4 linked regions of the Drosophila melanogaster genome follow. The protein of the gene in region 4 interacts with the protein of the main gene of each other region in a pairwise test. Each region holds a gene or a part of one and is shown on either strand. Other genes may lie near its edges.

Evidence for each region.
Region 1: the proteins of CG34376 (region 4) and CG32647 interact in a two-hybrid assay, tested with the Drosophila melanogaster proteins (one large-scale study listed by BioGRID).
Region 2: the proteins of CG34376 (region 4) and CG15861 interact in a two-hybrid assay, tested with the Drosophila melanogaster proteins (one large-scale study listed by BioGRID).
Region 3: the proteins of CG34376 (region 4) and Ssu72 interact in a two-hybrid assay, tested with the Drosophila melanogaster proteins (one large-scale study listed by BioGRID).

The regions. Positions count from the first base shown.
Region 1 is NC_004354.4:12,781,225-12,786,988, reverse strand, and holds the start of CG32647 (uncharacterized protein), read left to right. Parts: upstream 1-2,030; 5' UTR 2,031-2,287; intron 2,288-2,466; exon of another isoform or gene 2,467-2,527; intron 2,528-3,399; 5' UTR 3,400-3,554; coding exon 3,555-3,900; intron 3,901-5,764.
Region 2 is NT_033778.4:24,942,298-24,947,623, forward strand, and holds CG15861 (uncharacterized protein), read right to left. Parts: upstream 2,905-5,326; 5' UTR 2,663-2,904; intron 2,558-2,662; 5' UTR 2,126-2,557; coding exon 1,722-2,125; intron 1,637-1,721; coding exon 1,526-1,636; intron 1,469-1,525; coding exon 1,366-1,468; 3' UTR 1,095-1,365; downstream 1-1,094. Other genes in the region: CG3770 (uncharacterized protein), read left to right, coding at 3,464-3,866, 3,922-4,035, 4,086-4,228; CG2790 (uncharacterized protein), read right to left, coding at 4,373-5,326.
Region 3 is NC_004354.4:19,662,738-19,668,183, reverse strand, and holds Ssu72 (Ssu72 CTD phosphatase), read right to left. Parts: upstream 3,624-5,446; 5' UTR 3,539-3,623; coding exon 3,312-3,538; intron 3,250-3,311; coding exon 2,991-3,249; intron 2,933-2,990; coding exon 2,831-2,932; 3' UTR 1,318-2,830; downstream 1-1,317. Other genes in the region: Zw (zwischenferment), read right to left, coding at 564-582.
Region 4 is NT_033777.3:22,445,715-22,451,679, reverse strand, and holds the start of CG34376 (uncharacterized protein), read right to left. Parts: upstream 3,582-5,965; 5' UTR 3,265-3,581; coding exon 3,060-3,264; intron 1-3,059. Other genes in the region: CG34288 (uncharacterized protein), read left to right, coding at 4,464-4,479, 4,545-4,708; CG12499 (uncharacterized protein), read left to right, coding at 5,148-5,541, 5,594-5,965.

The sequences.
Region 1 (5,764 bases), on a different chromosome or scaffold from region 4:
TCCTGAACAACTGACAAAGCCTTTACTCCAAGAAAACACACACAAAAAATACGAAGACTACAATTTTAATATACAAAAATAAGCGAATCGAGATCTTTAATCGAAATTTTAAGAAGAAAGTAAGAGAGAGAGATCCTTGAACAGCATTCTTCGGCAGGCCGAAGTTTAGATGCTCTTTCAATGCCCACACACACATATGAACTAAGAAAAGATCTATTATATATACATATAAGCCTGGCCGCTTGCTCTTCAGTGTACTGGAACGGTTATTTTTTTTTTTGGTCACCTCCCATGTTGCAAGACTTTTTAAAAGTGAAAAGAACGAGAAAAAGGCAGAAGTACTGGAGATACCCTTGCTAGATAGCGAAAACCCGAAAAGATCCTCAAAAACTATCATTTGCAGGGGCATCAACAAGTTATATAGTATATTTTCAAATTTTATGTCAATGAATAGAAATGGATATATACATACACATATATATACACACACATACCAACTAGAATCATAAATATATACATACAAATAGTTATAATTTGTAAGTAAAAAAAAACAGAGATCAGATCGCCAGCAAGCCACATACCTTAAATACAAAATACTGAAGACACACAACCCAAAAGTAGTTGAATTCTTTACGATGATCGAGTAATAGGGATCGGGAAATATTATCTCAGCAGAAGAGCAAGATTTGTGTGTAAATTAAATTAAATTCAAGAAGTAAAAGAAATTCGCCACCCACAGATAATATCCCTCACCACTCAATGGCAATTTAAACAGTTCATGCAAGAGATAGACATACAAACATACATACATACATATATATGGAAACAAACCAAAGAGCATGAGGAAAACAAAGTGCTGAGCAAATTCGATGTGAAGTAATAGTTATTATATATATATATATATATATATATATATATATATACATACACACCTATATACAAGCCTAAAAAGATTTAGATGTAAAAAGCTCTTGGCACCCCCTAAATAAATGAATCAAATATCGCTGAGTCACCCACACAGAAAAGTCAACATGGGTATACAACTAATAAATCAGCTAAGAAGCGAGAAATTCAATGAAACTTTTCCGAAAATGCATTTAAATGGTAAACAAATATTTAAATGAGATAACTCAACTTGTATTTAACACTTAGTTATGTCCAACTCAGATTAATGGCATATAAGACAACTACAATACATACAGAAAAAAAATAAACACACAGAGACAGACAGACCGAGATAGCAAAGGACTACTCAAGGACACACCAATACCAATAGAAGAACCTACGAGACAAACACGAACACACGGACACACTCACACACACACACACACACAAGTATTTTTGTGTAAAAGTATAAAACAGAAAATATGAACTAATGAATGAATATGAAATATATTGAAATAAAATCATTTCCAAACTACTTATTAAAAAATGTTCTGTACGCTTTTATTGGGACAAAGAGCTGAGTAAAGCTGAATATTTTGAAAATATTAATCTTTATAAGTTTGCAAAATAATTTTTAAATTTCGGAATTCCCTTCATTTTTCAGTTTTTAGTGTTATAATTTATAGTTGAAATAATTCCATTTATATAAAAAATTCTTCATTACATGTACATAAATTGTATTGTTGAATTATTACTCATAAGTCAGCCATAAGATTCACTTTTTTATTTAATTTAAATGTGATCCTTGGCGGGATTTTTTCTCTTTGAAAGCTAACGTTATTTCCGGTGCTGTGTTTCTGAGCTACGCTATTAAGCTTTTGCAAAAGCTCAAGCCCTCCTTAAAACCGGAATCAAATCATGTGTCTAATTCAGAACTAAAAAGCTCTTGGCTGGTTCGAAAGAACACTAAGAATGTTTCCCAAAAGCTATGAACCCTTTCGAATCGAGCAAAAGCTTACAACACGTTGTGTTGTCCACGGAAATGTTGCTGTTGGAACGTCAATGTTGCTATAGTGGCGAGCCGATGTTGCTACCGCCCAACGCCAGCAACATTTGTTGGGGCGCAGCCTCGTCGACGCGCCGTCAGTTGGCTCTTGACTCTCCCACGCTGCAGTCGGTGGCTCTGGCCGGAATCAGAACCGGAATCGGAATCGGTATCGGAATCGCAATCCGAATCGGAATCGGAATCGGAATCTTGCCCGGATTGCATAGAGCGTACTGGGAGTGAGAGAGTGGTTCGTCACACTTGCAGTTGCAGTTGCAGCAGCAGCAGCAGCAGCAGCAGCAGCGTAGTGGCAGCAGCAAAAATCAACAAAATCAACAAAAGGCAACACAAAAGACGGTGGGCAAAAAGCAATCAGCAAACAGTCGGTTGTAAAAAGGACTCGGAAAATGGGAAAATCGTGGGAAGGGGGCGCGGTGGGCTGGTGTGTAGGCTAGCTGCTTGCCACTGCTGCTCGCTGGCTGGGAAATTCGTGCTGTGTTTTGTTTTCACATTTCCCTTCATTTTTTTTTTTCAAGTATTTTTAGTGCTTGCGTGCGAAATTTTGTTGGTGTCAAAGTTAAACAATTTACGTGAGATGTAAGTAGCAGAGCCTTGAAAAGAGCAAAAATAGCAAAAAAAAAAAAACAAAAAAAAAACGAAATAGAAAAGGGAAAATCAATGCGGGTACGCGTGTGCCCCTGTGTGTGCGTGTGTGTGTGTGTATGAGTGTGTGTTTGTAAGAAAATCCATAAAACGGCGTGAAGTGAAACTCGAACTTGTCGCTCTCTTTTGGCGCACAGGACATGCAAATAATAAATTACACGATTCGAATTAAGCACTGGATGTATGTGGGTGTGTGTGTGTGTGTGCACTTTTCTGTTTTTGGCAGCCGCAAAGAGCCAAAAAATATGGCAAAAAAAAATGAAAATGAAAATGCCCCAAGAAGCTTTGTAAACAAGCAATTCGGCTGCCAAACACGGAACTGCCGAACAGCTGATCCGCCGCCCCCTGCAACCACCCCCTGCAAAATGCCCACCATCAAACGCAAAAACACACACACACACACACAAAGAGGCAGAGGTGAAATTGCTGCCAAAAACTGTCTGTCGACACAATGCAGAGAAACTTTTTGGCCAACAGAACAGTGGGCAGAATTTGCTGATATAATGTAAACACTAGAGCATGGTATTTTATTTTATATCGAACAAAATCAACTAAATTCAATCAAAAATCTCTGAGGCACACAATTAATAAATGCAGCCAACTATGCGATCTATCAATAAATCAGTCTAAAAGGAATTGCATTCATTCAAACACTTTGTTTTGGATATTTTTTTCAACCATATTCAAATAATATAAAACTGAATTGTAACTAGTACATTTAAGACACTGTTTTACAACATGAAATTGATTGAAGTTTCCAATAATATATCACCTTTCTCCACACACCGAAACACACACGCACACAGAGTGCAAGGACAGGCCAAGAAGAAGCAGCAGTACAAAAAGGATAATTGCAACAGCAAACATAAGAAGTAAGCCAGGCAACTGCAACAGCAACATTTGCTGCAAGTGCAGCTCCCACAGCCATCGCCGCCGCCAAGTTCAAAATCAACGCCTGACAATGACAAAGGCAGCAGCAGCAGCAGCAACAGCAACAGCAACAACAACAGCGGCAGCAACACCAATCAAAACAGCAGCAGCAACCAAAGCAATAACAATCAATGGGCCCCAAACGACATGGCGACGTCAACGAGGCTGCTGCACAACAACAACAACAGCAGCAATACGAAACATGCAGCAGCAAAAGCAAAAGCAACAGCAACAATCGTACTTGCAACGCCTTAAGGCGGCCGGTCGACTGGGGGCGTGGCCGCCACCAATGACGTCGTTGCTTTGGCTGCCAACTGACTATCTCGCCCAGCTGATTTTGGCCCTATGCCTGCTGGGCTGCCTCAGCCCCTTTACAGGTAATTAGCATTTAATTTATAGCACTATAAATTAGGGATATAATCATGATGGATCCGCAATACACTTGCCAGATATTTGTCCATTATCTTTGAGTATTTAAGGGGTTGTAGTCACTGCAACACTGCAACTGCGTATCAACAACGCGCTGTCACCAGTGCGTATGAGTGATATATTTGGCTATATCACGTATCCGACACATATGCCCACGACAGAAGAAACTAATGAACACATTTGCATTTCTTCGTTAGCACCGCTTCGTCGAATCAGTTTTAATGCCCTCTAATGACGCGATTATCCAGGAATAACATTTGCGTTCCGCTTTTCGTTTTGCACAAAATGAATTTTGTTGTAGGAAGCTACATAGAAATTAAAAAAAAAATAAAGAAAGAGGAAATGAAACTGTCAGAAATGCTCCCATAACAATGTCAGCCTGCCTTCGCTTGAATATTTTCCCTTTTTTTTTCTCCTGCGAAATTTGCATATATCGAAGGTTGCAAACACTCCAATTTCTAAGGCGCCGGTGAGTCGGCAATAAATCTGCCTATTACAGTGTATATTCGTCCAAAGAGATCCCCAGTTATTTAAAATCAATAATGCAGTTGCCTTAATGTCAGCACTTAAAGTCAATTTGTTATGGATTTAAATGAGAAAAAAAAACTCAATGAATCTCCTGAGTTTCAAAATCAATTATTCAGCGGTCTTAATGTAAACGCATTTGTTAACTACAAGCAACATATATCTCTCTTGTGTTTTTCAATCAATAGTTTTGCTAGCAAAAAAAAAAGTAAAACACAAATAATAGCTGCAAAGGCCAGCTGATCAATAATTTAGCTTGCCAAAAATAAGCAAGTTAATAATTCATTTCAATGAGCAGGCTAAATTTCGAAAAAGAAAGGAAATATAAAAAATAAATATTAGAATATATGTATATCTAAAAGTACACCTGATCCATTGAATCGAATGCCTACTGTACTCCACCTAGCTAGTGCTCAATCAAATTTGATGATTCTGTTTTTCTTTTATGTGCCAGTCGGAGCCGAGCCATAAACAATTGCCAGCGGAATGAGAAAAGTCTTGAGATTGCCAGAAAGGGTACAAATGCAGTGGGGAAAAAGGGAAATTATTGAATACCACAATTTTAGGCATTTTCCATCTATGATTTTGTGATATTCAAAGAACTCTCTTTATAAATTTGCTGTTTTTTTAAAGATATATCAATGATCCACATAAATTGGAAAACAAGTTAAATATTCGCTAAAATTCGCTTTGTAGCTACTGTTTCTTTTCTAGCCGTGTATGTGTTCTTTCTATCGAGTGAGTTTGAGTTGTTAGTAAGTTGGCTACAACCTTGACTTTGCACATGCAACGAACACGACGGTTTTAACCCTCGTTTCCGAAACCCAGAAACCACTTTGGTTACACACAATTTGAATGTTAGAACGGAAAGCTTAGAAGAATAGAAGAAACTGGAACATCTGGCTGGTGGCTCTCAAGTGCTGATGGTTAACTCAAGTGAGATTGATATCGTACAATATATACCCCATCAATCATGAGGGTTTCTATGGCATTCTCTAATTAATTACATGATGGCCATCGTGGACGTCAATGGGTTAAGATGAGCCCAGCTCAGAAGCAGGGGTAAAATATATTGAAAAATTGGTTGGAAAAATTCAATTTAAACACTTTAAATTCCACTTTTTTGATGCCATGTATCGCAATTGTTCCACATAATAAATATATATGTATATATATATATCATGATAGGTATATATTTAAGTACACTTATGTGCCATCTCAATTGCGGGCCATGGACTTACATAAAGTGCGTTGCGTTTGAGCTAATTACAGCGGCTACAAAGTGTG
Region 2 (5,326 bases), on a different chromosome or scaffold from region 4:
TGCAAATTGCTGCACTAAGCAAAGGCGAGAGAGCTCTTCGGGATTGGATAGGATAGTGTGCACGAGCTCCAGCAGAGATACAACCGCGCCGATGGCCAGCAAAACTCCAACTAAATCGTGATGGAGAACAACGTCGGCGGACACGGTGCTGCCGCCTGCCACTGTTGTTGTTGTTATTGCTTCTGGCACAGTGGAGCAAAGTCACAACGTGTTATTGGTTCAACTTATATAAATATATTGCATATGAAAGTATTAGTCGACACTACGTGGAAAAGCAATTCTTAAATAATAATTATGGTATATATCCAATTTCATCAAAATTGGAAAAAGGAAGAAAATATTATTTGCCCTGTTTACTGACTCTGCCCAGTGTGCCTTGTCGTCAAGACCAAGAGGCCCGCCTCTAGTGGAACAACAACAAGTAAAACAATAACACGCCACACGCGCAAAGCTAAAAATGACGGTTCTGCCGACTGGTCTTTATCTAAGAAATATCCTCTGGGGGGGGGTGTGGGTTAGTTGAAATACCCGAAATATTATAGGCCCCGCAAGCACAAACACTCTAAAATTCGGGCATTATCAATGGCCTAATAACATCTGAGCACAGAAGTCCCTCTTGAGATCCACGCTCCCTCTATGATACCCCCCCCTAGCAGCATTTTAGTTCGCTGGCGACGCCTCTGGAGAACACGTACGCATGTCTTCTTCAGTTTCTCTGCTGATCGGTGGGGATCGGAAATCGTATACTGTATATTGTAATATTCTGCACTTCCATGTGTCCGATTTGTTATAAACAATAACAAAGTCTCTTTGTAATTGATTGGTTGATAGGTGGGGGAGGGGGTGCGGCAACAACAACACCAAAACCAAACCAGTTGACATGCGCTCTTTAAAATCAAAATCTCACTGCGCTCTCTGAATTGTGCCCTGCGAAAGGTAAGGCATTTTAGTTTTCGGACTCAATACGAACTATCAAGCGTAACTACATATTGTATATTGTTGCCCATTCATTATGAAAGGGTAAGCACTCAATAAAGTTAGTGCTTCTCATATTTCCTCAGGTTAGATAAATCGATATAATACATATGCATAATGCGTTTTTGAAGTTGGTATTTTAATATGGACAAATTATAGGTTACTTTATGAGGCGATTAAAGCTGTTTTTATATTTTATGTTATTCCTTACAGTTTCTAAAGACAAGATTGCCTTTCCATAAAAATTTTAAATCAATAAAAAGAGTAACATAGTCTTGTAGCTTAATTCATAAATAATCATGAACCTAAACAATAAATACATATATTAAAATCCATACGACATCAGCGGGACCTAAAACAGCCCCATTGCTGTCAAACCTCCTCTCTAGGTCAATAGTTCCCGGAGCAGATGCCGTTGTGAGCATAATGGTGCTGTTTGTGCCGGCAGGCACACAAGTTAGGAGCGAAGCAGTAAGCTCGTGGTCCGCAGTTGCTGGAGGTACAGTTTAGGGCAAGTGTGGCGAAAAGATATAGCGACAATCAAACTTACTGATCACAGATTGGCATGCATTGCTGTCCATGAAGCAGGCTGTCCCTTAGCTCGTATCCCTGGGCACAGATGCACCGTCCGTCGGAGGAGCAGTTGCCATGTGTGCAGCGCCTGGAAATGAGAAAGGGCACATAAACGCATACGTATGTATGTACACTTCCTAAGCGATAAGGTGAGGAGCAAGAATCATACTCACCCAAGGCAGGGGTCCAGCAGACGGGGAGCCCTGTGGCGGCACTTTTGGGAGAGGGGATCAAAGTAGTAGTGCCTGTCCTCACGGCACACACAGAGATCTGGTGCGGCGCAGTAGCCACCTGCCGCCACGCACCCGGGGAGGCACTCTGCGGCACACACCAAACCATCCGGATTACCCGCCATATACTGATCGGCACAGGGACAGGATCCGTCCTCGAAGCACACTCCATTCAGGCAGACGATGTTGCAGCGCCTTACGCACTGGCGGGTGTTGACCACCAGCATTTCGTAGTCGGAGCAAAGCTGTGAAGGCTCGTTGATCTCCCAGTAGCCGTAGTCGTAGTAATAGTGACCCTCTACTACTGCCCACAGCAGCAACTGTAGGAAGACCATCCGGCGCGACATCTCGGCTAATGGCAAGTGATGAGCCGCGGATTGGTTCAGGCAACGAAAGGGAGAGTGAAAGTGCTTTCCGGAGGCTGCGCACTTTGTGTACGGATCTCATTACGGCCTCGGTCACGATCACTGTGCACAAACACAGTGCGGATGACGCAATGGCCCCCAACACACTCGGCCAACTGATAACCGCTCGACCGAAGATCGTTTCGATCGGAATTGCACATGATCAGCCCGAATCGAAGCGGCGGCGTGCATTACTCACCCGAACGGGGGTGGAGGCAATGGTGGGGTTGGTGGTGGTGGAGTCGACAGATTGGATCCAACTCGAACGCGTGTGCAGAGAGCCAGGGAGAGCTATTCGAGGACTGATTCTGAATTCGGAATGTCTGGATTTCCACGCTCTCAATGAGAAATCGGCGCCCACATCTGCATAAGGCACTGAAAACATCAACATTTAAAAATATACAAAATACATTCGAAAAAAATTCCTCATTAAATTACAATATTTTATATTAATTATTTCCTCTAAGTAAACATTCTTACCAAACATAGTCATTCAGTTTCTTAAATTCTTCCGGCTGATTTAAATTTATACGATAAATACGTAACGCATAAACCAACTTAGAACTCGATTATTACGATTTGATGCACCAAACCTTTTCTTCCAGTGCTCCGATTGGGGCCTGGCTCCGTTTGCGACTGCAGCTGGCTTTAATGGGCTCCATTCATTCGGTCGGTCGGAGTCGGCGAGAGATGACGCTGGCGAGGAACGGCAGCAGACACGCCTGCGCGAACAGAAGCTCAGATCCAAAGTTCCAGAGTGTGGAATAAAGTTGCCAAATAGCTGCAGCCGCTTGGGGGATTAGCGAAAACGCCATCGAGGCAGAGTTATTTTCCCGCTAGACTCTATTTCCCTTCGCTTCGACGTCAGCTGCGAATTTTGTTCTTGACAGAGCCGCGGACTGCGCGGTCTACCGCCTCGCCCTCGCCCTCGTGCTCCCCCTATCCCACAGTCAACCTCCGCTCGCGTGTGAGTGTGGGGTGAATAACATAAAACAGACGGCAGAAAGGCACCGCATAACAGCGAGCGGCGAAAACATAAAATAAACAATTCCATTTCGGGCTGGTCAGCTGGGAGGAAGTTCTGGTCTGGCCCCGCGCTGCTGGTGGTGGCGAGTGGTGCGACGGTGGTGGTGGGTGACGGCAAAGTGGGTGTGGGATGTGCGTGCCCAGACAAAGTAAGAGCGCTTAGAGTCTATTATCTATCCGGCAAGTGCTGACGCGTTGCGATCGCCCGTCGTCGATCGCTAAATCTGTGTACTCCGAAAAATCTGGTGCATCAAAATGTGCTACGTTATTATCACCATCGCCAGTCTGGTGTGGTTCCTCTGTTCGCTGGTGGCCGACATGCTCTTTGCTGTGGCCCTGGTCACGCCCAGGTGGCTGGTGGGCCCCGCCCAAGGAACAGACTCCACCGCCAGCTCTCACCACCAATCCTCGGTGGGCATCTACACGCGCTGCAAGGTCATGCAGGAGGGCGGATTCCAATGCGGCCGCTTCGACTTGGACGGACTGGCCACGGACAGTAGCGTTTACCCCAACGAATGGAAAGCGGCAATGTTCTTCGTCATGCTGGGATTTAGTCTACTCTCTGTAACGGTGATCCTGACCCTGATCACCTGCTGCCGCCAGTCGGCCTGTGGCAAGAGCATACACAACATGACGGCCTGCGCCCAGGTCGTAGCAGGTAAGCAACCATTACTGTGATATCCTCGCAGCATTTAAGTTTGCATTGTTTATAGGAATATGTATGATGTTGGGTCTATTTCTGCATCCGATGGGATGGCGAGCGAACCGGATTCAACGTCTATGCGGCATGGATGCCGAACCCTTTTACCCCGCCGACTGTAGCATAGGTAATTCTTTGAAACTTTTCTTAGAAACTTACTAAACTTAATCCTTACAGGAGTTTCATTCTACTGCGGAATCATTGGGGTACTCCTAACATTTACTGCCGCCGGTATAAGCCTAAAGGCAGAGTCTTCCAATATGCGAACTCGAGTTCGCAGACGCGTGGAGGCGGGCAGTAAACTGGTCTGTATTCCGTAGCTGCCTTTGAATACAATAAGAACACTATCTGACTTGGAGCGAGCATACTTAACTTCATTCTCGAATTAAATTTATCATTAGCATAAATAAACTTTTAACATTCTACAGTATAGATACAAGGTGTGGGTGGATATCTATACGACCCTACTTGTTGCGCTTGCCCTTAGCTTTGCCAGGAGGCTTGCCCTCAACATTAGGCTTTGCCTTAGGTATGTAGACACCATGGTTCGTCTTCTTTAGGTGGGCAAACAGCTTGTTCTTGGAGTCAAAGACAAGCCTACAGGTAACACAAGTGTGTTGCGACTTGGTCGGGTCGAGGTCCTCATCTCCGCTTTTGGGAGCCACTGTTGCCTCCTTTGTATTCGGTTCCGAAACAGTTTGCTCTAATAGCTTAACCTTCCTAGTCGTCGTCTTTTTGCTTTTACTCTTTTTGCTCGCTTTTTTGCCTTTACTCCAGTCTTCATCCTCTGACTCGCTCTTGATTGCCTTCTTTTCTATTGGCTCATCTGGTTCGTCACTGCCTTCCGCCTGCGCTTGCTTGACAGCTGACTTCCTTGCCTTTTTGTTTTTTTTGGTTCGTTTGGCTAGCGAAGATTCTTCTTCGCTTGGAACCCCGTCGAAAGATATCTGATCCTCAGAGACTTGCAATTCTTCCAGCGATTCCTGTACGCCCATTAAACTGTCTTCATGGGGTTCATTGTGGAAAGCGTCCTCTTCTTCCTCCATTTCCTGACACAGCCGGTCGACATTTTCATTATGCTTCTTGCTTTCTTCGTGATTAGCACGCGCCTTGGCGTTTTTAAATGTCTTGTTGCATGCCACGCAGTAAAGATCGTCTACATACTCCACTTCGTACTCCTCGGCTTCCTGGCCGCCTTCATGGTCAAAGTCCTCGCCATCGTCGTCGTTCTCGTCTTCATCCGTGTAATCTTCTGACTTGCTATCGTACTGCTGCTCTAACTGCTTTAGCTGCTCCTCGTAGCCCTCGTTAAAGACATTATTTTTCCTGACGGCTGCCAGTTCTTCCTGGCGCTTCCTTAACTGCTCTTTGCGCTTCTCCTCCTGCTTAAGTCGATTGGCCTCGACGCGTTCCTCAAG
Region 3 (5,446 bases), on a different chromosome or scaffold from region 4:
GGAGAGTTCGCGCTGCCGCCAAAGGTTATTGCTATTGCCGGGTTCTAATCTTGGAGCACGCAGCGAGTGTTTGTTTTAGCTGGCCGCTCGGATCCAAGCCCGTCCGATGGCCAAGAGCGGCGCCCACACGTCATCGCTCGGCTGGATGGGTAGTTGGGGGAGTGAGTAGTAGGCGTGGAGGAGTGAGAGTAAGAGTGACAGGTGGAGAGTGGCCAGTGGTAGTGGAGAGTGGAAGTATGAAAGTATGATAGAGAGCGGTGCGGGTGCGGGAGCGGAGCAGCGGTGTGGCCTCTCCTGTGATAAGAAGACAGTCGGCCGAGTCCGCGTCCTCTGCTTTTTGTAGGTGACCCCCAGTGCCAGGCGAAGAGCACATTTGAAGGGCGCACTGGCACGGGCACTGGCACTGGCACTGGCTCTCGCACTCGCAATCGGATTCCGATTGGAAAGCCAGTCCACCTGGCGCGACAGTGATCGCGGCAAGTACGCGCCCGAAAATCGAATTGGTAACAGTACGCGGTGTGGAATCCAATTCGATACCAATTGCCCAAAGCTGCGATACTCACCTTCCTTTTGCGTTGCCATCTTGACCCGAATGTGAATGGATTTTTCTGTTTAAAAGCAAAAGTGTGACAACTATGTATACGCAAGCCTTTCGATTCGGATTTCCAACTCGATATACGATTTCTCCAGTCGCTGGATTTTGAGCAACCTCTGCGGCTCTGGCTGTGTAATTACAAAGAGTTGCGGCGCTTTAATCGCACGCGCAGGTCGTCGTCGTCGGATTCACTAACTAGTAGCGCAAACGTAAAACAAAGCGAGTACGGGTACGGAGTCGCGAAGCCTCGGTGGAAGCGGTAGTAGTAATGAAGATAAGCACGATCGTTCCCTGACTGACTGAAGCGCGGCGCGAACCGCCGCAGCAAACAAACGCCCAAGCAAGCACTGCCAATGGCAACAACACCAACACACCAGCAACAACAGCTAAAGCAGCAGACGCTTTGTAACCCCGACTGCGCAGCTGATCGCAGACAGGAGCGGATTCAGTGCGCGCGGGGGCCCATTCGATCTGGATTTACATGTGAATGGAATTGATGGATAACACATAAATATACAAATAATACGATATCATAGTATAACATGGAAATAAAACTGTTTAATCTGAGAGCATTGATCTGATGCGTTGATGAGTTTAATGATGAAATTATGCTAGAATTATGATTCCCACATTACTAAACAACACCCTTACAATTTCTAATCCTACCTAGAATCACGTCGTATTTGGTCAGTGAAAACGAGCAAACGTCAACATTTCTTTTTAGAGTTTAAATCATTTATTATTATTCATTAGTCAGTAGGAATCGATCAGTTCCTTCTGAAGTTAACCTAATGTGTAGCTTAAAAGATATTATGGATTCTGTTCCTTAATTATAGTGTATACAAATGTACCGAGGAGAGATTATGCTATATTACGTGTAAGGAGTTCATGGGGATGTATTCTCTTCAGACATCGGAGGGAAATAGGGTCGACAAGATCATTCGCTAACGTGTTTAAGTGGGCGCTAAGTCTGTCGGCATATCGGCTGCTATGGAAGTTTATTTGGTACCCCAATGGGACACCTTTTAAGTCCCCTTCAATAACTCTATTGCTCACATACCACATGTAGCCCAGATGCATGTCGTGCCGCTCCCGATTGTCTTACTCTAATACTCTGTTCCCCACACTTGGATATGGCTTTTATTAAGAGAGCCTTAGTTGCCATATGGAGTTTGCTTGAGTGGAAAACCCAGTCCAGCTTTTTCAGTTTCCAGGAGCCGTGATAAGGGCTTTCCAACTCAGCGTCCGATCAAGGTGAACTCCGAGGTAGCAGTGGGATGAGACGTAATCAATGGTATTTCCGTCGAAGAGAAGACCTAGGCAGGTTTGAGGTCGCAGGGTAAATGTGACACAGGCCGTCAACAAGAAACCGGCATAAATTGGCGTGCACTTTTATTCCAATCCTTAGTGAACACAACTCCCCTGTTGTTTATTTTCTATTGCAAGCTAGCGCCCGTTGCGGGCCTTTGCCTTTGGTTTAAAACGCACAGCCCCAACCAAGGTCGGTCGGGTTTGCCCTGTCTGAACAATTGGTAAAACTGTGTAAAATTAAAAAACGCGGCCCCTGCCCGCGAGGGCCCAGACCGTTCCGCCCCTGTGTGGCTCTCTGGCGTGCATGCTCATTCACACAATCACGATGCGAGATTTCACTTTATGTGAATCGAATCCGAATCTGAGTCCGAATCGGACTCAAAGCCGGGCGAAGAGAGCGGCAGAGCGGCCGAACGGGAGAACGGGTCGGAGTCAGATGGTCGGCGCCTTCGCCAGCTGAGGGAAGCGAGAGCCTGTGATAAGACCCCCAGTCGACGGGCGAAATTACAAGGAATACGGACACGTACACATACTACTACAGGGGTTTTGGGGGGCAGCCGTGTGGAAATGGTCGTCATTGGTTGTGTGTTATATTCCAATTCATTAGCCAGTTGCTTGCATGTGTGGTGTTGATGTGGATTACGAATCAGGTGTTTGGAGTATGCGAGTGTGTGGGTGCTGGTCGTTGTTGGATGTGCTTTCGCTGCAGCGATGGCCCCTCTCTATTTACAGTATTCTTATATGCTAGGCTACCAATCCGGAACCCAGGATCCGCACGCGCTGCGCGCAATGCCCGACGTCCTATGCTCTGCGATCGCAGCCCCTGGGGTACAAGATCGAGTGACTCGGCTGGAGCGCGTCGGGGCTACGGGAGTCTGGTGTTGGTGCTGGAGCTGGACACGAACTGTTAGCAGACGTCGGTCGTCAGTAGAAGAGCACCGAGTGCAGGATGACCCGCTTGCGGCGCTCCTCGAACTCCTGGATCAATTCGTCGATGTCGTTGTCCAGGTCCGTGGACTTGGCCATCTGCAAAGGCACAAGAATCGTTGGGCGAATTGAGGGAATGGACGACAGATGATCATACCATGTTTATCATGTCTGTGATGACAAAGGCGCCCATTAGCGCATCTTCAGCGTTGTCCACCACATCCACGTTGAGAACGTGCACGGGTCGGTTGTCCACGGATTCCATGGACTCCATGTGCATCACCACCAGGTCGTAGACGCGCTCTTCCACAGTGACGATGATGTCGAACTGCTCTTTGGTGTCCTGAAACCGTTCCGGGCACTTCTTTATGCGACGATTGCGGTCGAGCATGTGTAGCAGGCCGTTCTGTGTGTAGCTGTAAACAGGACGAAAGGGCAGGGATTAGCCAACGGTAGGCCGGAAAAACGAATAACTCACAACTCCTTGTCCTTGGACTCCAGGTCGCGGTAGATGTCCTCGTATTTGGTGCCAAACTCGTAAACATTCGGCTTGTCGAACGCCATGCCCGGTAGCTTGACGCGCTCGCCGGTGCCGTAGGAGCGCACATTGAAACCCTTCTTGGCCAGAAAGTTGTGCGCCTCCATTGAGCGATTCATGTTCGAGGAACAGACTACGGCGACGGCGAGCTTGCTAGGATCAGTCATGTCTCTTTCTCTTTGGCAGTGCGTTGCAATCGCAGTCGTCGAAAAATATGTTCATCAAATTGGAGATGGGATGGCAAAACCACGAGCACGAATATCGATACGATATATTCACGAACATACATTTAACGTGTTAATCTGAAAACACGCGATTTAAAAAATTCTGCAGTGTTTAATTGAACACGTTGACTTCACGTTCAAAATATTCAAAAAACCTAAAAAAAATATACGTTATAACAACTGATAATTAGTACGGAATATTTAAAACTAATTATGTAAAAGCCTCGAGTTTTTGAAACATTTTTGGCCAAACAAATACATAACATACATAGCTACTTAACATAATTAAAGTTCGAGGAGTCCTGCAGCATTAAATATGATCAAACTAACAGCTGGCAATTACCTATCGTAATGTCTTAAAACGTATTTATAATCCTGCAACTTGTATAAAATGAAATATCTCATACTACCCTTAGCATAAAAAAGGGCTCCCCCTGGTTAATATCAATGTTATATCGAATAATTCCAATTTATTAAATCTATTTTAAATTCGAAATATTTTTCTGGACTCCAGCTCCACTACTATTGACACTTTCAACTAGTTATATCGATTTCTTGCCGCCAGTTTACGAACTTTTCAACACTGTCGACCAGTTCGACGCAGTCTGGCAGCGTTGGCGGTCAATTCTTATTTTTGAATCCAACCGAAGTGAATTTGGATACGAAAAGCGCCAAAACTGAGTTAATCTAACTATAAGTGAATTTTGTTACTAAAGCGCGAATTTGAACTTGAATTGAAAGCGGCTTGCAACACCCAATGGCGAATTTCGCCGTCCCAAGCGCATAGGCAACCGCAGTAGTAACCGACAACAACCTTTCAGTTTGGAGCTCGTGGAATGCGGCTGAGCAACTTGGAGCCGTTGCCTCCATTCTTTACCTGTGTGTGGAGTGAGGCAGGAGGACTAGAAGCACCATCGCCACCAGCGGCACCACAACCAGCAGCAGCAGCAGCCGCCGCATCGCGTGTGTTGTGAGTTAAGCAGGTTTGCGGCACAGTGGGTCGCATTGCTTGGCACTTGCGACAATATCAAAACAACCGTTTCTCCCCTTTCCAAACAATTAACAGATTGAAAAGCGTCTAAACTTCTTTTCACCTTTTGCTAACAAAAACCTATTTCAAAAAATATTCCCATTGAACCCAATGCCACGTCATTCTTGCTTGATAATTTAAAATAACCTTTATTTGTTTATTTTATATTAAACCGTAATTGTAGCGTCTTTGGGCCAAAAACATTTTAAAGTAAGCTTATTGTATATCATTTTATATTATACTTTGACAAAAGTGACACAACACAATTCATATACGTTTTGGATATCATTATACGGGAATAACATTGGGACAAATCTTGTAGAAAAAACAAAAAATATTTGTGCTAAAAAGCTACCATTTTGGCCATGATGTTCCACTGTGCAAAGCGGCGTTTGGAGCTGGAATTGATATTGGAATTGGCTCGTTCCACTGCTCACCTGTCCGTGTGAGCAGCGTGTGCATGAGTGGGTGAGGTGAGAGGAAGAGACAGAGACACACAGCGAGAGCGAGAGAGAGAGGGAGAGAGGACCCAACTGGTTGGTCGAATAGCTGCCGGCAGTACCGAAGTTCCTGAGATCCAATATTAGTCGTACTTTGTCACTCGATCGGTCAGGGCGTCGTTGTAGCCTTCGTTGTCGTCCACTTGCCGCCAAATCGGAACGCCTGCTGGCGGTGCTTGGTTATTGGGATTGGGATTGGACATCGCGTTCGGTGCGGGTGAGGGAGGGGAGCAGGCGGCGGAGGAAATAGCTCCCGCGGCATTTGCCACCGCGCTATATCGATCCGCCAATTAGGGAGTGGAATCCGGCGCTTTCTTCGCT
Region 4 (5,965 bases):
AAAATTCATTTTTAACGTTTGCCCACCCTTTAAAAATAAATTATTTCGTTTGCCCACCCTTTAAAATTTGTTTTTTTCGTTTGCCCACTCTTAAAACTAAATAATTTCGAAAATATTTTATTCCAGAATTTTCTTGAGCTTGGAGAGTGTTGATAAACATACATACATTTTTTTGCATATATATTATATTGCAATATAAAATATTTTCCATGAAATGAAACAATGATTAAGAAAAATTGATGTTACAATTCATGAATGATTAACACTATGGATATATTGAAAATGTATGTAAATATGTAAATAACTGTTCTTTTGTAAGTAACTGTGCTTTTGACGCCACATCTTACAATTATTACATACATATGTACAAATTTATTTTTAATAGGTGAAAAATCGAAAAAACCATTTTTAAGAGGTGGGCAAACGAAAAAAACAAATTTTAAAGGGTGGGCAAACGAAATAATTTATTTTTAAAGGGTGGGCAAACGTTAAAAATGAATTTTAAAGGATGGGCAAACGAAATTATTTAGTTTTAAAAGGTGGGCAATCGAAATTATTTAGTTTTAAATGGTGGGCAAACTTTTTTTATTGGAAATTTTTATTTTAAAGAGGTTGGCTAAGGAAATTGGTTGTATTTTAAATGTGGGCAATCGAAAAAAAATTTTTGTTAAAGGTTTTTTAAAGGGTGGGCAAACGATAAAAACTAATAATAATTGTTGGGCAAACGTTTTTTGTTGATAATATTTGGTTTTAAGAGATGGGCAAACGATTTACTCTCTGATTAGACCGAGGTAAACTTAAAAGCCTTATATTTTCTAAAGTATACATTTTTTCAAAATTCTAAAGGGTGGGCAAACGTGGGCAAACGATGTTATTGCGATTTAAAAAAAAAAAATTTTGAAAAAAGCGAAATTTTTGATTTTCGAAAATTTTCGAACTTTTTCGAAAATTCATATCTCAAAAACTGGACGTGGGCAAAAAAAACTAATTGGTGGGCAAACATGGGCAAAAAATGGGCAAACGATTCCAGCTTTCAAATTTCAAAAATTCGATTTTTCCGACCCCAGCTTCTTTGAGCTATGTCCGTCTTGTTTATGCCAATAATAAATAGATAATTTTGGAGGATTAGCATTGTATTGGGGACTGTGACTGTTGGCCAGATATAACCACTTGGAACGGCACAGTGTGGATTGATTTACACGTCCGGAGCAGCGGAAACACGTATATATGTTGCGAGGCTCTCTAATCAATATCTCGACTAAACTAAATTCTTCGAGTGGCTGTAAGGGTGAAGGAGTGGGCGGGCGGGCACTCAGTTACTCAGTTGGGCAATAAATGATTGTTAAACGCGATAAAAAGATAAAAAATATTTCGACTATTGTTGTTGTTTCTGCGTGTTACACACGGAACAAACACATAGCCATTTGGCTTGTTAGCACCTCGATGACTGTTGTTGGCTGGGCTGGTCTACATTTAATAGCTTGCCCCCGCTTGGGTTCGCCGTTATTTATAGGGTATATTAATATTCTTTATCTTTGGAAATACCTCTTGTAGCAGCGTTTGTGGGTAGGTAGCACCTTCCTGCAGCTACTTGAAAAGATAAAACCTTATTTTTTATGGCCGCCTGATCAGATAAAGCCACCGTGCAGCAGGCAGCCGTGTTCAACACGACTGCGAACGAAATCGGAATCGTACCGACCAGGAGGGGCCGCGGCGATATCATATCCATACACCATATAGCGTACATAAATAGTAGTACACCACCGTTCTAGAGTCCATTTGAAGTACATTTGATGAGGTCAGCAACGCACCCAATCTCCCCGATCCGATCGAAGTGGGCTGCGGCTCCGACTCTGCGCTCTCTTGCCATGGACCTTATCACGATACTCCCTCCGCCGGTGGATACTCCGTGCGTGGCGTGGGTAAACAATCCCGGTGTGCCTCCGGAGGCGGAGGACTCCGGCAGCTACCACACAGGCATAGACAACGCGGCGGCACTCCGGCTCACCGGAGGATTATCACCAGACCTCGATTCTTAGTGGGTTGCTGCTGTTTGTCTTTAGATTTACGACTCTACAGTCAAACTTCACTAACTGGAACATGAATCAGAAACGGACAGATATTACGAATTGGATTATATTACCCTGAATTGGATTAGTAAATCAAATCGGTTATCAAATGATTACAGTTCATTACAAAGTCTTTAGATAACTGTAGGCTGGATAAACCTTAATGCATTTGCATAAACGATTTATAATCTTCCTAATATCGCTGCACTACTTAATTTTAATGGGCGATCCATCAAACGACTAACAATATTATTCGATTGATTACTTTGTATGCTAAAAAAAAGGCAAGTTAGGCTTATGAAATAAAGTGTAAAGTTAATAGGGCGGGTATAGTTGGATTTATGGTAGCGATACTGTAAAGACAGACGTAGTCGTGCTGGGACGCTCGTCTGGAACTCGGAATCGAACTGGCGGTGGAGCTGGGCTGATAACCACCGAATGTGTCATGGAATTTAACACAAAGGTTGATTTATATCTAAGCGTTTGACAAGAGTGATGAACAGACAGGCTGACGGGCGGGCTCCTCGATAAACTGACACCGCTGTCCCAGTGATAAACTGACCGATTTCTGGGGGAATATGCTTGACCAAGTAACCAGCAGTCACTCTTCCCTGGCATTATACAGACTATGTATGTATGTGAAGGGTATGAAATAGCCCAGCGAATAGTCAGACTCTTTTCCGGCTTATTAAAATTCCAAGAAAATATGTCTACAATGTATTTGCAATGCCAAGAGCCAAGCAATTTGTAAGAAACCCGAATCCTTCAGTTACGCACTCAATGTTCCATTAGGATCATCCATATGCATGGCAACGAAAGCTCGGAACATTAAACTTGACCAATTTCTGGAAGACCACTTCCGTGCCCAGTATCAAAATACACATATAAATGCCGCGCTGACAATGTAAGCCACGCTGCATAACTTAGCATTTAAACCGGGGACGCCGGCGATGGGGCCGCAATCTTGTGCTGCCTAATCGGTGTACTCACTGATGGGATGCTTGCAGGGATTGGTAGTGAATATCTCCTGGAAGTAGGGGCTGCAGATAGCCAGCACTATCTTGTGGGCATGGAGGAGCTTTCCATCGCAGGCGAGGGTCACGTCCACCAGGTCGCCGCGGTCGTACAAATTCTGGAAGCCGCTGGCTATGTTGTCCTGGAAGTTCTTCCAGCACAGCTTAAACTCGTCGTCCATCGCGGATGCGGATGCTCGCCGAAAACCAGACTTTTCCAATTCCAATTGGGGAGCGTAATTTATGCGCACAGACTTTTGCGATGATTCTCGTGCGAATCTGTTTTTTATGGCTTTTGTTTATCCGCTTTGCTCGTGATTCGTTCACGGGCCAAAAATCGCAATTCACGTATTCTCGCGCACCTTTATTTTTATTATATCAAGGGTTCGAATTTGATAAACTAGCTACCAACTACTCGATCCGCATTCACGCGCACACGATCTCGAGTCGTTCGCGTCCACGGGCGCATTGATTTTGATTTGGGCTCTAATTAACACAGTGTGATTTAAACATTTTTATCGGAAAGCGTGAAAAGCAGCGACGCTGTTTACGTTCCGGCTGATAATGAACGCACCACCCCCCCGCACTTTGAGGAACAGTGAAATGTTGGTTTTTTAGGCGCCACAGCGAACGGTCTCACTGGCCACTGGTAAACAAACGAAAATGTTTGCTGAACTTTAATTCCAGCTATAAAAATTTGATTAACAATCAAAACTGTTATCACAAAGAAAAACGTTAGAGAGGAATGAAATTCTGGGATTTTATACAGAAATAATAATTCTAAAGAGATTATAAATCCTGCAAATATATATTTTTGTAAAATGTATGTTAACTACTAATTTGTTAAAAATGTTCGCAATTACTACGTAAATTGCTTGAATTGTCAAATGCTTCTAAGCGTTTTTGAAATCTGGCCCACAAGAGCGGAATTTTCAATCGATAGCCTTTTCGATAAACGATATCATAACGACAATTGAATATTTAGCGCCAATTAGAGAGCATTGAAAACGTTTTCCCCTGATAAGAGCTTATCGCAATTGGTTTGTTGGTCGCTTCGTTGCGGTTATATCCGACCGGCATTGTCCGCTTTTATCACAGTTCTACGGTTCTTTGCACGATGCTAATACGGCCGATGGGGAACTACACTGTTGATAGCAGACCTACCCATGGTGTCATAAATAACCCACTTTACATTTTAAACAAAAAGAGAATAAAAGTAACAGCAGGGCTTATCAATTAGCCATGAGTCGTTTGTACGCCTCAGGTGCACACATACGCACCCAGTCAATTGGCCACCGATTTGATTTGCCCGATTTAGTGCTCAAAGAACTTTCAGCAAATTAGCCCACTCGTCCCGAGAATCAGTAAAGAGTATACCATAATGGGTTGTTGTTTTGGTAAGTGATTTGCAGCTATCTTCAGAAGGCAATAACAGCGACTAATAATAGTTGTGTACTTGCAGGCAAAAGTAAATCAGTCGATTTGCCCGCGGTTCCGCCGGCTCCAGCCAAACAACGCTCCACTCTGCCAGAATTCCCGATTTCTGGATCGGTGACTAGCACGGCTCCTGCAGGATCTGGATATGGATCTGGAGGAGCCACCAATGCGGCCCTCGAGGATGACTAGACGTGGTTAAAGGAACAGAAAAAACGTTCACGTCCAGGGAAAACTGTAAATTTGCCAAATGGCAGATTGGATTATGAGTCATTCCGTGCCGAGATGTGGTTTTTTCAAAGTTGTGCACCCTTTGTAGTTAGTATTGTAGTAAAATACGTTGTTTATTGTTGGAGAGTATAAAATTGTTGGTAAATTAAATCATAACTTTAATCTCTTTGAATAAGTTGCTGTTCTGTTTTTTTTCCTGTTTCGCCAGTTTATATTTTAGCGCGCCAAGTGTCGCCCTATACAACACTGAAACAAGGGCGGTATTTTTCGGTATTTTAAAAAGGGTCATACCATTCTCTGCCAGCACGTGTGTGCGGCTGTTTTTGTGTTTAACTTAAATTTTAAACGATTTATGCTGTAAATAGGCAAATATAATTTATAATATTATTATTAAAGCAAAATGGCCATTCAACCCAATCGAAGAAAGAGAAGGCACGAGGAGACAACTGCTGAGCAAGAGGATGAAGGTGAAGTGGAGGTGCCCAAAAAACTGGCCAAGGAGTCCGACACACCGAAGAAAAAGAAAAAGAAGGATAAAACTAAGGAATCATTCGATGAATCCACGCTGGAAAGCACTGAAACCGATCCTGCTGACTCCACTCCATCAAAGAAGAAGTCTAAAAAGACAAAGACATCCGACACAAGTGTAGAACAACAGGTGGAAGTGGAGATGGCTGAGGATGAAATAAGTCGCGATTCCGGGATTGATCCCGAAGAATCCCGCATACACTTTCCCAACGACTTTAAGATGATGCACTTTCGAACCAAGCTTCGCGGCAATAACTTCATAACAGGTGGGTTAATACGTTCAATAAAAGATCGCTAACTCACGAATCCCAATTCCAGAACTGCGACACTTCCTGCACATGTGCTCAACCACGCGTCCTAAGCTTGCGGCTAAGTACATAGAAAAGCGTGGAAAGCCCTTGGAGTTAGCAGAAGCATTCGAAAGGATCGATAAGACTAATTTATTTCACGTGGACTACCTCACAGAGGCTTTGCACCGAGTTTTGATGGAAATACTTACCAACCAGAAGAGCCACATGGAGTCGGCTGTCCACGGGTGTAGATATTTTCTCAAGGTTCACGGAGGAGTGCTCGAAAATCAAATGAAATCAATGCAGCTAGGCCATCGGCGTAATGCCCTAAAACTGCTCACCGCTATTGTGTGCGTGGAGCCTCAATTGGCCCGCCAAGTTCTGAATTCGTATGATGTGC